Drosophila melanogaster: one gene and its partner. Changing the gene in region 1 together with any one later gene gives a genetic interaction. Each region holds a gene or a part of one and is shown in the gene's direction. Other genes may lie near its edges.

Region 1 (5,089 bases):
CATTAATATTTACATACCGCCGTTCATTTTCAAGGAATGCCCGAAGAGGTCCTTATGGCCTGTCACTCCGCGAGATGGATGGACAGATATTTGGAGCGGTGGGCACTTCTTGGTTTTCCTCAAAAAATTCGAAATAGTTTAAACAGGGAAACCATAGAAAAAAGGTTGCATCTGTTTCGAGTGGGGCACAGGAAGTGGGTTCAACGAAGGACCCCGGGGGATACCATAGTAAACCGAATGAAAATTCCAATGAAAAGTATATATAATTTTTAAGGACTGCAGCCGCTGCAGAAGCGACGCTAAGCTCGTCTGAGGCAGACAAATTGTCTGTTGTCGCTGGCTAATTAAAAGGTTAAGAACTTTGTAATTTAAGTGTCTGATTATGCAAAGCCCGAGCTCCCCGTTCAGCTAACCGAAGCTCCACTTTAATTAATTAGTTTTGTGTGTGTTGCACTGACTGGGAATGCGAACAGATTGTATATGTAAGTAAGTCGCTTCTCAAGATGTTCTAGGGATTTTATGGTGGGTCATCTTGAACGCATTGTTTGAAAGCATTTCAAGGATTCTCTAAGGTTTTTACTTTAATCGAAGTAAGGTTAGTACTACATTTTAAAGTAGTATGTTACGAGTTATCTCTAGATAATGATTCTAGTTCTAATAGGTTCAATTAATAGCCAAACAAATGTTTTTACAAATATAAATATTGCTATAGACTTCACATAGCTGGACCCCTTTGCGGGCATCAAAAAACCCTGGAAATCCATCCCAAAATCGTGTTCATTTCATACTGGGAGTGTGGCATATGACACATCCAGCTGTCAATCAAACCCAACTCGGCAGGAGCTGCAATTAATCATCCAACGATTTGAGTTGCCGCACTCATATCCGACCTCTGTGATCTGAAAAGTAAACCACTTATTCATGGCCAGTGGAGAGCCGTCAGTGCAGAGAGACGAGGGCGACAGAAGTTAGTTTGTGCTGTTTATCTTGTACTAACTGAGTTAGGGCCAAGGACCAGCGACTGTTGCATCCCCTCAACCCGTTACCCCAACCAGCATAGTATATATGTTTACGGGAAAGTAGCGTACACCCCCCTTTGGCCATCCCGTCGCTGGCAATTTGTTCAAAATCAGAGCCAGCAACAAATGCAATGCAACAGCAATTAACTCGGCACAACTGCCACATTCTGGGCGCAAAATCCACCCCGTGTATCGTGAATGGGAGCCTCAGGCGGCCAAGAGCCAAGAGGCAAGAGCCGCGAGCCCCAAGCCGAAAAAGTTCCAAAAGGGCCAAAGAGCCATGAGCCAATTCTCAGGTATGGCTGGGGGTCCGGTGCCTCCACGTCGAAAGAAAGAGACCGAGTGGGAGAAGGTGGGGAAATGGAAAGAGAGAGGCGCAACAATTTTGAAATCGGGAGAAAGCAACAGCGGGGAATGTTTTGGCAATGAAACACTTCCTGATTGTTGCCTTTGCTCTAGGGCGCTGGCACACGATGCGATTTCTTAGAAGATATGTTAGAAAACTCTTTGTTTTTAAGGGTTTCACTGGTATTTTAGGCATGAAGGCCAGCACTAAGTTATGTTTTATTCTTTTGGCCGCTATTACCTTATGTTATTTCAGTGATTTAGGTTTCTTGAGCATATTCCATCGTGTGTACCAGCCCACAGGACGAGCAACAGCAATAGCAACAGCTATGCGCTTCCTTTCTGGGGGTTGGAACTTAGGGGCTGTGCCGCTCTCAGCGTTCCGCTCTCTGGCGCTCCAGTGCTCTCGCTCTTCCCTTCGGCTCGTTTCGGCTGCAAGGCGACGCGGTTCGGCTGGCTGTCGTTATGCTGGGGGTGGACCACCCTTATAAGCGGGCTCTCGGGCCGCAAGACTCTCATAAGCATTCAAGAGTTGCTTACGTTCGGTTCGTTCGCATTTCTTCTCTATCTTATATAATATTATATTTTCTCCTAAATCAATTTTTTCACTACCAACAACAACAACAATAATAACAACTCAACTATTCTCAACTCGCGTCAACCTTAACTTTCTCAAAAACAACAAACTACAACTCTACCACTACCAATCTGTCAACTTTCCGTTTTTAAACTGAAACTGCAAACCAAAACATTTATTTTCGTCTCGACGGCCATTGACAAAGTTTTGTTTTCCAAAAACCCGAGGAGAAAATTGCCAGCCCAAAAAGAGTTGAAAGGATACCCCAAAGATTCGTTCAAAAATCGTCCCCCCGTTATGTTTTGAGTTCAATTCCGTGTTGAAAACAAACGTGAACGTAAACGCAAATGTAAATGTAAAAATCGATAAGCCACACGCAGCCAGCCAACTGAACGCGAACGTGTCCGTGTGTGTTTCGTGGAGCGAGGGGATTGAACGGGGGGAACTGACCAAAAATCGGTGGCCCTGGCCAAAAACGCAAAAACTCCGGCCCAAAAAGAAAAAAAAAAATACAAGAAAAGCAAAGCAAAGCAAAGTAAAGCAGAGCAGAACAGAGCAGAGAGAGCGACTCGAAACTCCAGCCCAAATGACGGATACGGGTCTGACAACGAATCAAGCGCCGAAATGTGTGAAGTGGCTGTGAAACCCGAGGAATCCTAACTAAAAACCAAACCAATTTACAATAAAATGCAAATTACTAAGAATATTTAACCGAAACGCACCAGACCACACCACTCCACTCCACACACACAGACAGACACACGAGACACGGCAGAAATGCCAGGCCTGAAATTCAACAAGCTGTACGACTAAAACTTTAAGAGATCTTTCGGCGAGCCAAACTCTATATACAATATATATATATATATATATATATATTAATATATATATTTTCCCATGCGAGATAACAACAGCAACGTTTCCTTTCCGCTTTTGCCACAAATAATACCCCCTGAGACGGTCTTTGCTCGCTCGAAACTCGACACTAGCTTCAGCACTTAGCCCTCTAAGATCTACTAACTGGATCCTGATCAAGCTCCTAGCCAAAACTCCAACTCCAACTCCAAAACCTCTAATCTACAAAGAAAAAAAAAAACACAGAAAATGCCGCGCTGCCTGATAGCCAAGAAGTGGAAGGCCTATCCCTGGCTGGATCGGACGGAGGATACTAGCAACCAGCAACAGCAGCAGGAGCAGAGTGCCCCCAACTCGCCTCGCGAACTGGAGGAGCTGCATCTCAAGTCCAGACGCTCCACCCTGGACGACGACGAGGAGATCGATGTGGTGGGCGACAAATTCCTGATCAAATTGGAGAAGCAACGCACAACAGCAGATGCTGCCGCAGCAGCAGCAACATCATCCGAAGCAGCAACATCGCACAGCAGCAACAGCAGCAACATGGAGGCATCGGCGACGACGACGACGTCCAAGTGCTGGGGACCCAGTTCACCCACGGCGGGCACCACGGCTCCAAGTCCGCCTCCCCATTCGCCGGAGGCGGCGACGCGAGTGGCCGGCAATGTTTACAACGGTAAGTTAGCCCTCGGGAAAGTCGGGAAATCGGAAAACACTGCTCCAGCCAGTGAGGCGGGGGTGGTGGAAATCGAGATGGGGCGCACGTAATCGCTGTCATTGATGTGGCCATTGTGCGATTGCGAAACAATTCCGAATCAATTTAATTGCCTTTGTTGTCACTCAATATTGTTTGCAATTCCGGCCAGCGGGCCACAAAACGCAGAACGCACAGACCCTCGCCGACTTCCTACTGCCAACTTCCAGCTCGGTTTCCATTCCCTTTGGCGTGAAAACAATGGTACAGGCCAAAATTAAACCGTTTGCCTTCGTCCTTTTTGTTGAATGTGTGCCTGTCACTGTTTTCCACGTACAATTGCGAAATTAATTATTCAGTGGAAATTAGAAGCAAGGCAGACCTAAAAACCACTCACAATAGACATCCTTTCTATAGGTTTAGGCTTTAAAAGCTAAAAATAACTTACTACGAAACAGATTTAAAGTAATTGCACTAACCCATTTTTTAGCTGTGAGCTGTTGCTCTTCTGTGTACTTTTCTACTTCGCCAAAGTTCTTATTTTGCGGAGAAAATCCTTTGAGCAAACATAATATTTTCCAGCACATACAAAATAGTTATCTTAGCACAACTCCAGGCGTGGTCTTTGATATTTATGTTGACCTTTTAAAGTTTGCCCTTGGTTAAAAGAAATTATACGCATGTGTCAGTCCTTCATATTTAAATGAAAGCTATTGTTTAAAGTTTGTTAAAGAAAATATCTTAAGAATGGCAGAGGGTAAATGTTTTGGCAGCTTATAAAGAAAAGGAAACGGAAAAATTATAATCACAAAGAAATTATAAGTGCATGTCTAGGAAGTTTAAGCGAATCATATACTCTACATCCGACTACATTAAGTATATTTTCCGGCACAAAAACATTACAATGACTGAAACTCTTATTTCAAAAGAAAAAAGTGTAGCATACTTCAGGAACCATGATAAATGCTGCTGAATAAAACTTAACCCATGATTTAATTTTTTCTGCTTTTTACAGGCTACACCCGCGAACTTTCGCCGCTGCACTACACCGCGTACCTGCCCCGCATGGAGAGCGAGATAACCGTGATCCGTGCCGCGGCTACAGCTCTGGTGGCAGCCAGGACATCCGGAAACGGAAGTGGAGATCAGCACCTGGCCGCCTACCAAACGCCGCCCTCGTCCACCACGTCATCACCCTCTTGTTCGCCCAGCGGCGCCGGCGATCGGTACAGTCCGCTCTCGAGTGGACAGACCTCCAGTGAAAGGAAGTGCTTCAGCAGTACGGGAGCCACACTGTCGCTGCCGCCGAAGAAGAAGGACATCTACAGGCCGTATTCCTTGGACGACAAGCCGGCGCACGGCTATCGAAGAAGGGTACCGGCGGAGGAGGACCTGCATGCGGCACATGCTATCCTGGATCTGAGTGCGAGCACAGCCTTCCACCCGCCCACGCAACCTCACCAGTTGCAGCAGCAGCAACAGCAGCAGCAGCAGCAGCATCAGCATCACCACTCCCAGCAGCAACACCTTGCCCCGCAGCAACATCACTACTTGCCACTGCAGCAGCAACAGCAGCAGCAGGCACACCACACCCACTTG
Region 2 (5,958 bases), on another chromosome or scaffold:
CGATCGTCAGCGATCGTGCCACACTAAATGGCGTTTACCTTGATCCCTGGGCCGGGAATAAGAAAAAAAAGGAAAGAAAGAAAGAGGAGAAGCCACAGCAGCAGCGGCGTTTGGGGCTGATATTGAACTTTGATTTCTGACTGGTTTCTTCGTTATAGAATTTCAATTCTCAGTTTCTGAAGAAGCTCTGCAGACTCTGCACGTTTCGCCAGACGATTGATCCACATATGTCGGATGGTTCTGAGGTTTCTTCTCCCTGGCCCATGGCACTTTTACATTTTGCCAGCTCATCGTGCTTATTTCGGGTTTCGTGGGAAAATGTTTGCCAAATTTGCGGCGTTCAAAGGAGCCAAAGTGATCGCCATTAAGCAGGGTGATGTGCTCATCAGTGCAGAATTCAGCCGAACCCCATGGTTTAGTTGCTGTGGATGTTTTAGTTGGTCAATCGTAGCCGTGGCATTTATTCAATTTACGAAAGTTGACATCGGATCAGTGCTGCAGAGCTTGTGCATGATGGATGATCGCCACAGATTATTGCTCAACACGGGATTTACGCTCAGGCCGCGAGGGATCACTTTGCACAACCAGGGTTGCCAGGCGGCGCAATACGTTTACGATCCCACCCAAAACTCCCCAAATCGGTCCATAGGTAGATCTACGTCAGCTGTCAGCTGGCGCATGGCCCGCGTCAGTGGTTATTGACAACTCCTTTGGTCGTAATCCTGCCAACATCGTAAAGTAATAAATTTGCCTGAAAAAGGAAAATCTGCCGGGGATCGACTATAAAAATTGGCCCAGCCAGGTAAGCTCCGTAATGATTGACCCCGACCCTCAGTCCCAGACCCACGACCGATCCAGGTCCGATTCCGATCCATTGCAAGTCGCGATTCCGTCCCGAAACCCAAGCAACCCCCTAAGACGCTTCTGCCGATGAGCCGACCAGGCAAAAGCGAAGAATTTGAAACTAAGGATTTCGCCTTGCAAGGGGGTTGGGTTGTCACGGGGGTTGCGGCAGCTGCGCCGAACAATTGCCAAGGAGTTCTCCTTAATGAATTGCAAATCATTCGCCGGGCATTGATCAAGTTTGTCCTTGCCAAGGGTGAAATCTGTGCGACTAAATGTGCCATCAGCCAGCCACCCAAAAGGGAAACGGACACAAACGGAACATCTGTCGCAAATAATGCTACTCACTGATAACTTATAGAAAATCTCACTTGATACATTTTTTAAGGAACTAAAGATTTTTTGCTTTGCTTTAGCAAATTTCAAGTACTAAAGAAGAATCGCTGTTAATTCTCTGAATATAGTTCATATTTTTGTTAACTATTGCTTTAATCAATTCATTAAAAGTAATAAGCAAGTAAAAAGTAAAAAAAAGTAAAGTAATAATATTCATAAGATTTATAGTAGCTTTGTATAATTATTGCTAAATATATGAATATTCTAAAACAAATAGATTGGGTATTAAGTCGGCTTCGACACGAATTAGAAGATTAAATTCAGTTATAAATTTTTGTTAAATTGTAATAAACTTTAAATTCATTAATGATATGTTATTGATTTTAATGCTTAATTTCCTTCAAAATTATTTAATATACAATGCTTGCTGTATTTTACAATAAAATCAACTAAATTTTGTGGGTTTCGTCAAGCCAAAGGCTAATGACTTGGCTTAACCGAATGTTGTGTTGTTTCTCGATCAGGCTCGACTTAGTCTCGTTTACTTGAGTTAAGCTCCTATTTTCACTAATCCCCTGGAATCCGCAATTCGTTGACTCGGCAACTCTGCCTGCCTGGGAATACCTACTCAAATACTCACTTAAATCTCACTCCGAGTGTGAACTCATTGGATTTGGGGTGGTTATGCACTCACTCACTCTCCGATTGAGCGCAACTGCGCTGCTGCGGTGAAAAGTTCTCAGTCTGCGGACGGCGATCGTTGGGCTGCCTACCTGCCTCAGCTCTGCCTCTGCCGCTGCCCGCGTCGCCAGGTAAGAGAGTCCCTCGGTTTCACTCGTGGACTCGTTTCGGCTTCGACCCGATTCGTTTTTAGCTGGTGCCCGTGGACTCGGAGGATCAGTATCCTTTTGGCATCTCGCGAGCGCGGTCGTCTGCCGCTCTCCTTTGAATGAACATTTAAAATACTATTCTATACGATTCGATAACCAGAACGATCTTTAACGCGTACCGCTTGTTAAGTTTTTGTTGTTCGGACATTACTAAGAAGTACGTGCAATAATTGTTATAACTATTTTCGTACTCGAACCAAAGTTATTGTGTTGTGAAAAAGACCAAATCGAAATCGAACTATCTTGGATTATCTCCCACTTGGATATACAAATTAAAATCGTTACAAAATGGATTACAAAAACGATATTAATTCCGACGACGATTTCGACTGCTCCAACGGCTATAGCGACAGCTATGGCTCCAATGGACGCATGTCCAATCCCAATGGATTGTCAAAAGCAGAACTTAGAAAGGTGAGTTCGCTCTTTTGCGATGAAATTGGACTCGCAAACTAAAAAATAGCAGAGTTTATTAGCACCCTCGATCGTTTTGAACCTTTTCATTTTAATGGCTTAGAAAATGTAAAGCATTAAATTAATTTTAAAAATCAAGTGAAACCCTTGTTTTATATAAACAAAGATATCCCTTAAACTGAAATAAATTCCTACGAAATAAACTAATTGATTCCCTTTCTTTTCTAGACCAACAAACCGATTATGGAGAAACGTCGCCGAGCTCGCATTAATCACTGCCTCAACGAACTGAAGTCCCTTATCCTGGAGGCGATGAAAAAAGACGTAAGTATCTTGCCCGAGCGTCAAAGCAGAAAAGGAGCGGTCCGCCCGCGAATTAGAAACTAGCCCCCGATCCCTTTTGGTTCACTTTCTTATAAATAATGTTAGTCCACAAAAAAAAACCTTTAAGGCACAAGTGTCCGAAGGGCGGCAGAACTACAAAAGAACAAAAAAATGTATAAAAAACGAACTCCTACGACACAAGAACTGAAAAAAAAAACACAAACCAAGGGCTCTAATTGAGTATTAAATTTTATTGATGATCATTACACTAGAGCGCCGACGAGGAGTCAGTCAAGAGACCAAAAAGTGTTAACAAGTCGAGGAATTACGCAGAAATCGCCGGAGATGCGAACGAAACCAGTTTCCAAGGAGTGATCCTGCTGTGAGAAACTACAAAGCAGAAATCAAGTAAAATTTGCCGCCGCAGAATTCTGCAGGAGAGCCGGACCAAAAATCAAATAAGAAAGACATTGAGGGAAAAAAGCAAAAGTAAACAAAAGGTTCAGACAGGGGAGCGGGGGAGGTTGAGGGGGCGGGGCTGGCGAGCGACCTGCGTGGGAACCTTTTGCTAAAATATGCAGTCCCAGCGGCGAGAAAGGGACGAACAATCGGGGACCGAAGACTGGCGAAGATCGCACTGCGCGAAAAAAGAAGATCAGGAAGAACGATTTGGAATCTTCTGTGCCCAAAAAGTCTTCATATGAGATCACAAACGATAAGATCGGCGAGTAGTTTATTTTAGAACCACTTACTAAAGACAGTCACTTTTCCATCATTAGTATTCACTTGCCAGAAAATTTGACTTTAAGCCCCCTTTTTGCTCAGTGCACAGTAGCAAGATCAGTCGTTCTTCTCGCTGGAGTTGCTGAATCTCACCTTGGTCGTGTGATATTTACAGAGTGGACTCGACTGAAGTGGACTGCAGATTACACGCGAATAGTTGGACATATGAGGCACGAAACGTGCTTCTTAACTTCGCTTTTTCCCAAGCTATTGAACTTGTTGTAGGGCCCCAAACAATTAGCCCGACCATCTCCCACCCCATCCCCATTTCATCATTATCTGACTTTGGTTCCTTCGTCTTCTATACTTTTAGCCGGCTCGTCATACCAAACTGGAGAAGGCCGACATACTTGAGATGACGGTGAAGCATCTGCAGTCGGTGCAGCGCCAGCAGCTCAACATGGCCATCCAATCGGATCCCAGCGTTGTCCAGAAGTTCAAGACGGGATTCGTTGAGTGCGCGGAGGAGGTGAACCGCTATGTAAGCCAAATGGATGGCATCGATACCGGTGTTCGTCAGCGGCTCAGCGCCCATCTTAACCAGTGTGCCAATAGTCTGGAGCAGATCGGTTCGATGAGCAACTTCAGCAATGGATACCGTGGTGGCTTGTTTCCCGCCACAGCTGTCACGGCTGCTCCCACTCCGCTGTTTCCCTCGTTGCCGCAGGACTTGAACAACAACAGCCGCACGGAGTCATCGGCTCCGGCCATCCAAATGGGTGGACTTCAGCTAATTCCCTCCCGCCTGCCCTCGGGAGAGTTTGCCCTCATCATGCCGAACACAGGTTCCGCTGCTCCGCCTCCGGGACCCTTTGCCTGGCCAGGATCTGCAGCGGGAGTCGCAGCTGGAACAGCCAGTGCCGCCTTGGCCAGCATTGCCAATCCCACACATCTAAATGACTATACACAGAGCTTCAGGATGAGCGCGTTCAGCAAACCGGTCAATACCTCAGTTCCGGCCAATCTTCCGGAAAACCTCATCCACACACTGCCCGGCCAAACGCAGCTGCCGGTGAAGAACAGCACAAGCCCACCGCTGAGCCCAATCTCCTCCATCTCCAGCCACTGCGAGGAGTCCCGGGCTGCCTCGCCCACCGTGGATGTGATGAGCAAGCACAGTTTCGCCGGCGTCTTCTCAACTCCGCCACCAACCAGCGCGGAGACCTCCTTCAACACCAGCGGATCCCTCAACTTGAGTGCCGGAAGCCACGACAGCAGCGGATGCTCGCGACCGCTGGCCCACTTGCAGCAACAGCAAGTGAGCTCCACCAGCGGAATCGCCAAGCGCGACAGGGAGGCGGAGGCCGAGTCCAGCGACTGCTCCCTGGACGAGCCCTCGTCCAAGAAATTCCTAGCTGGCGCCATCGAAAAGTCGAGCTCCGCTTGGAGGCCGTGGTAGATCAACCGCACAGGCCACTTCTATGTTACGTTTATACATTGTTAATTTATTTCATTGCAATTTTTTCAAAGATCACTTCAATGCTTTAGAACCCCATTAAGTTTCAACGATTTCTATATGTTTTTATGTATCCCCGTTTCGCTTTCTTCATTTTAAGTTCAGCTGTGATTTTGTATATTTTTTGTGTAGTTCTCGTTTAAGCGCTTTATACGACTATTATGTAGTTCATTAAATAATTATGTTCTTTAATGTTTCATTAACTGCTCAAGTATTTAAACAATTAAACGTGTTTCTATTTAAGTTATGTAGTTTTCATTGTATAGCGTTTATCATTAGGTCATTCACGTTTCTATATTAGTGTTTTAATTTAACGATTGTAATTTTAACTTTTAGGTAATGCAAAATTCGATGGAGTGAAAATAATGATAATAAAAAAAAAATGCTGCAAAAGAAAAATCCATCCAAATTTAATGGTTCCTTGGTTCTTAACTGATTAGAATTGGAAAATTCAAGATCGCATCAACAATCAATAGTACTTGAACTCATTGAAAAGTCGGAAGCTGAATTCAAATCAATACGGAAACAGCCTTATCATGTATGTTCGATGTTTTCGCAAAGTTTGATTGAAAAGATAACTCAATCGAAAGCTCCCAATCCATGCTATATAAGCAATAGGCGGAACACATTTAGTGTGTCAAAAACTAAATTATTGCAATCAAGAGCGCGCAGTGACTTTCAGGCGTGCATTGAAAAATCTCAGAAATTATAAAAACAATTTAATTGAAAAATTTTAATTTTACCATGCCAGGAAATCTGTTTCAAGTGTTACTAACTGTGGCGATCCTGCCAGCTATTAGTTTGGCATCTAGTTCTGAAGATGGTCTGCACCATTACCGTGCTTCTCCAAAGCTCACGGGTCCTGTGAAGCTCCTACACGATCCCGAGGACACCATTCTGAACACCTTGGAT

Evidence for each region.
Region 2: of scrt (region 1) and dpn, changing one enhances a phenotype caused by changing the other (phenotypic enhancement), as found in Drosophila melanogaster (one study listed by BioGRID).

The regions. Positions count from the first base shown.
Region 1 is NT_037436.4:3,982,019-3,987,107, forward strand, and holds the start of scrt (scratch), read left to right. Parts: upstream 1-1,877; 5' UTR 1,878-3,045; coding exon 3,046-3,472; intron 3,473-4,505; coding exon 4,506-5,089.
Region 2 is NT_033778.4:8,228,448-8,234,405, reverse strand, and holds dpn (deadpan), read left to right. Parts: upstream 1-2,075; 5' UTR 2,076-2,357; coding exon 2,358-2,483; intron 2,484-2,711; coding exon 2,712-2,807; intron 2,808-2,817; exon of another isoform or gene 2,818-3,302; intron 3,303-3,340; exon of another isoform or gene 3,341-3,903; coding exon 3,904-4,989; 3' UTR 4,990-5,435; downstream 5,436-5,958. Other genes in the region: CG34217 (uncharacterized protein), read left to right, coding at 5,791-5,958. UniProt on the Drosophila melanogaster protein: Transcriptional repressor of genes that require a bHLH protein for their transcription.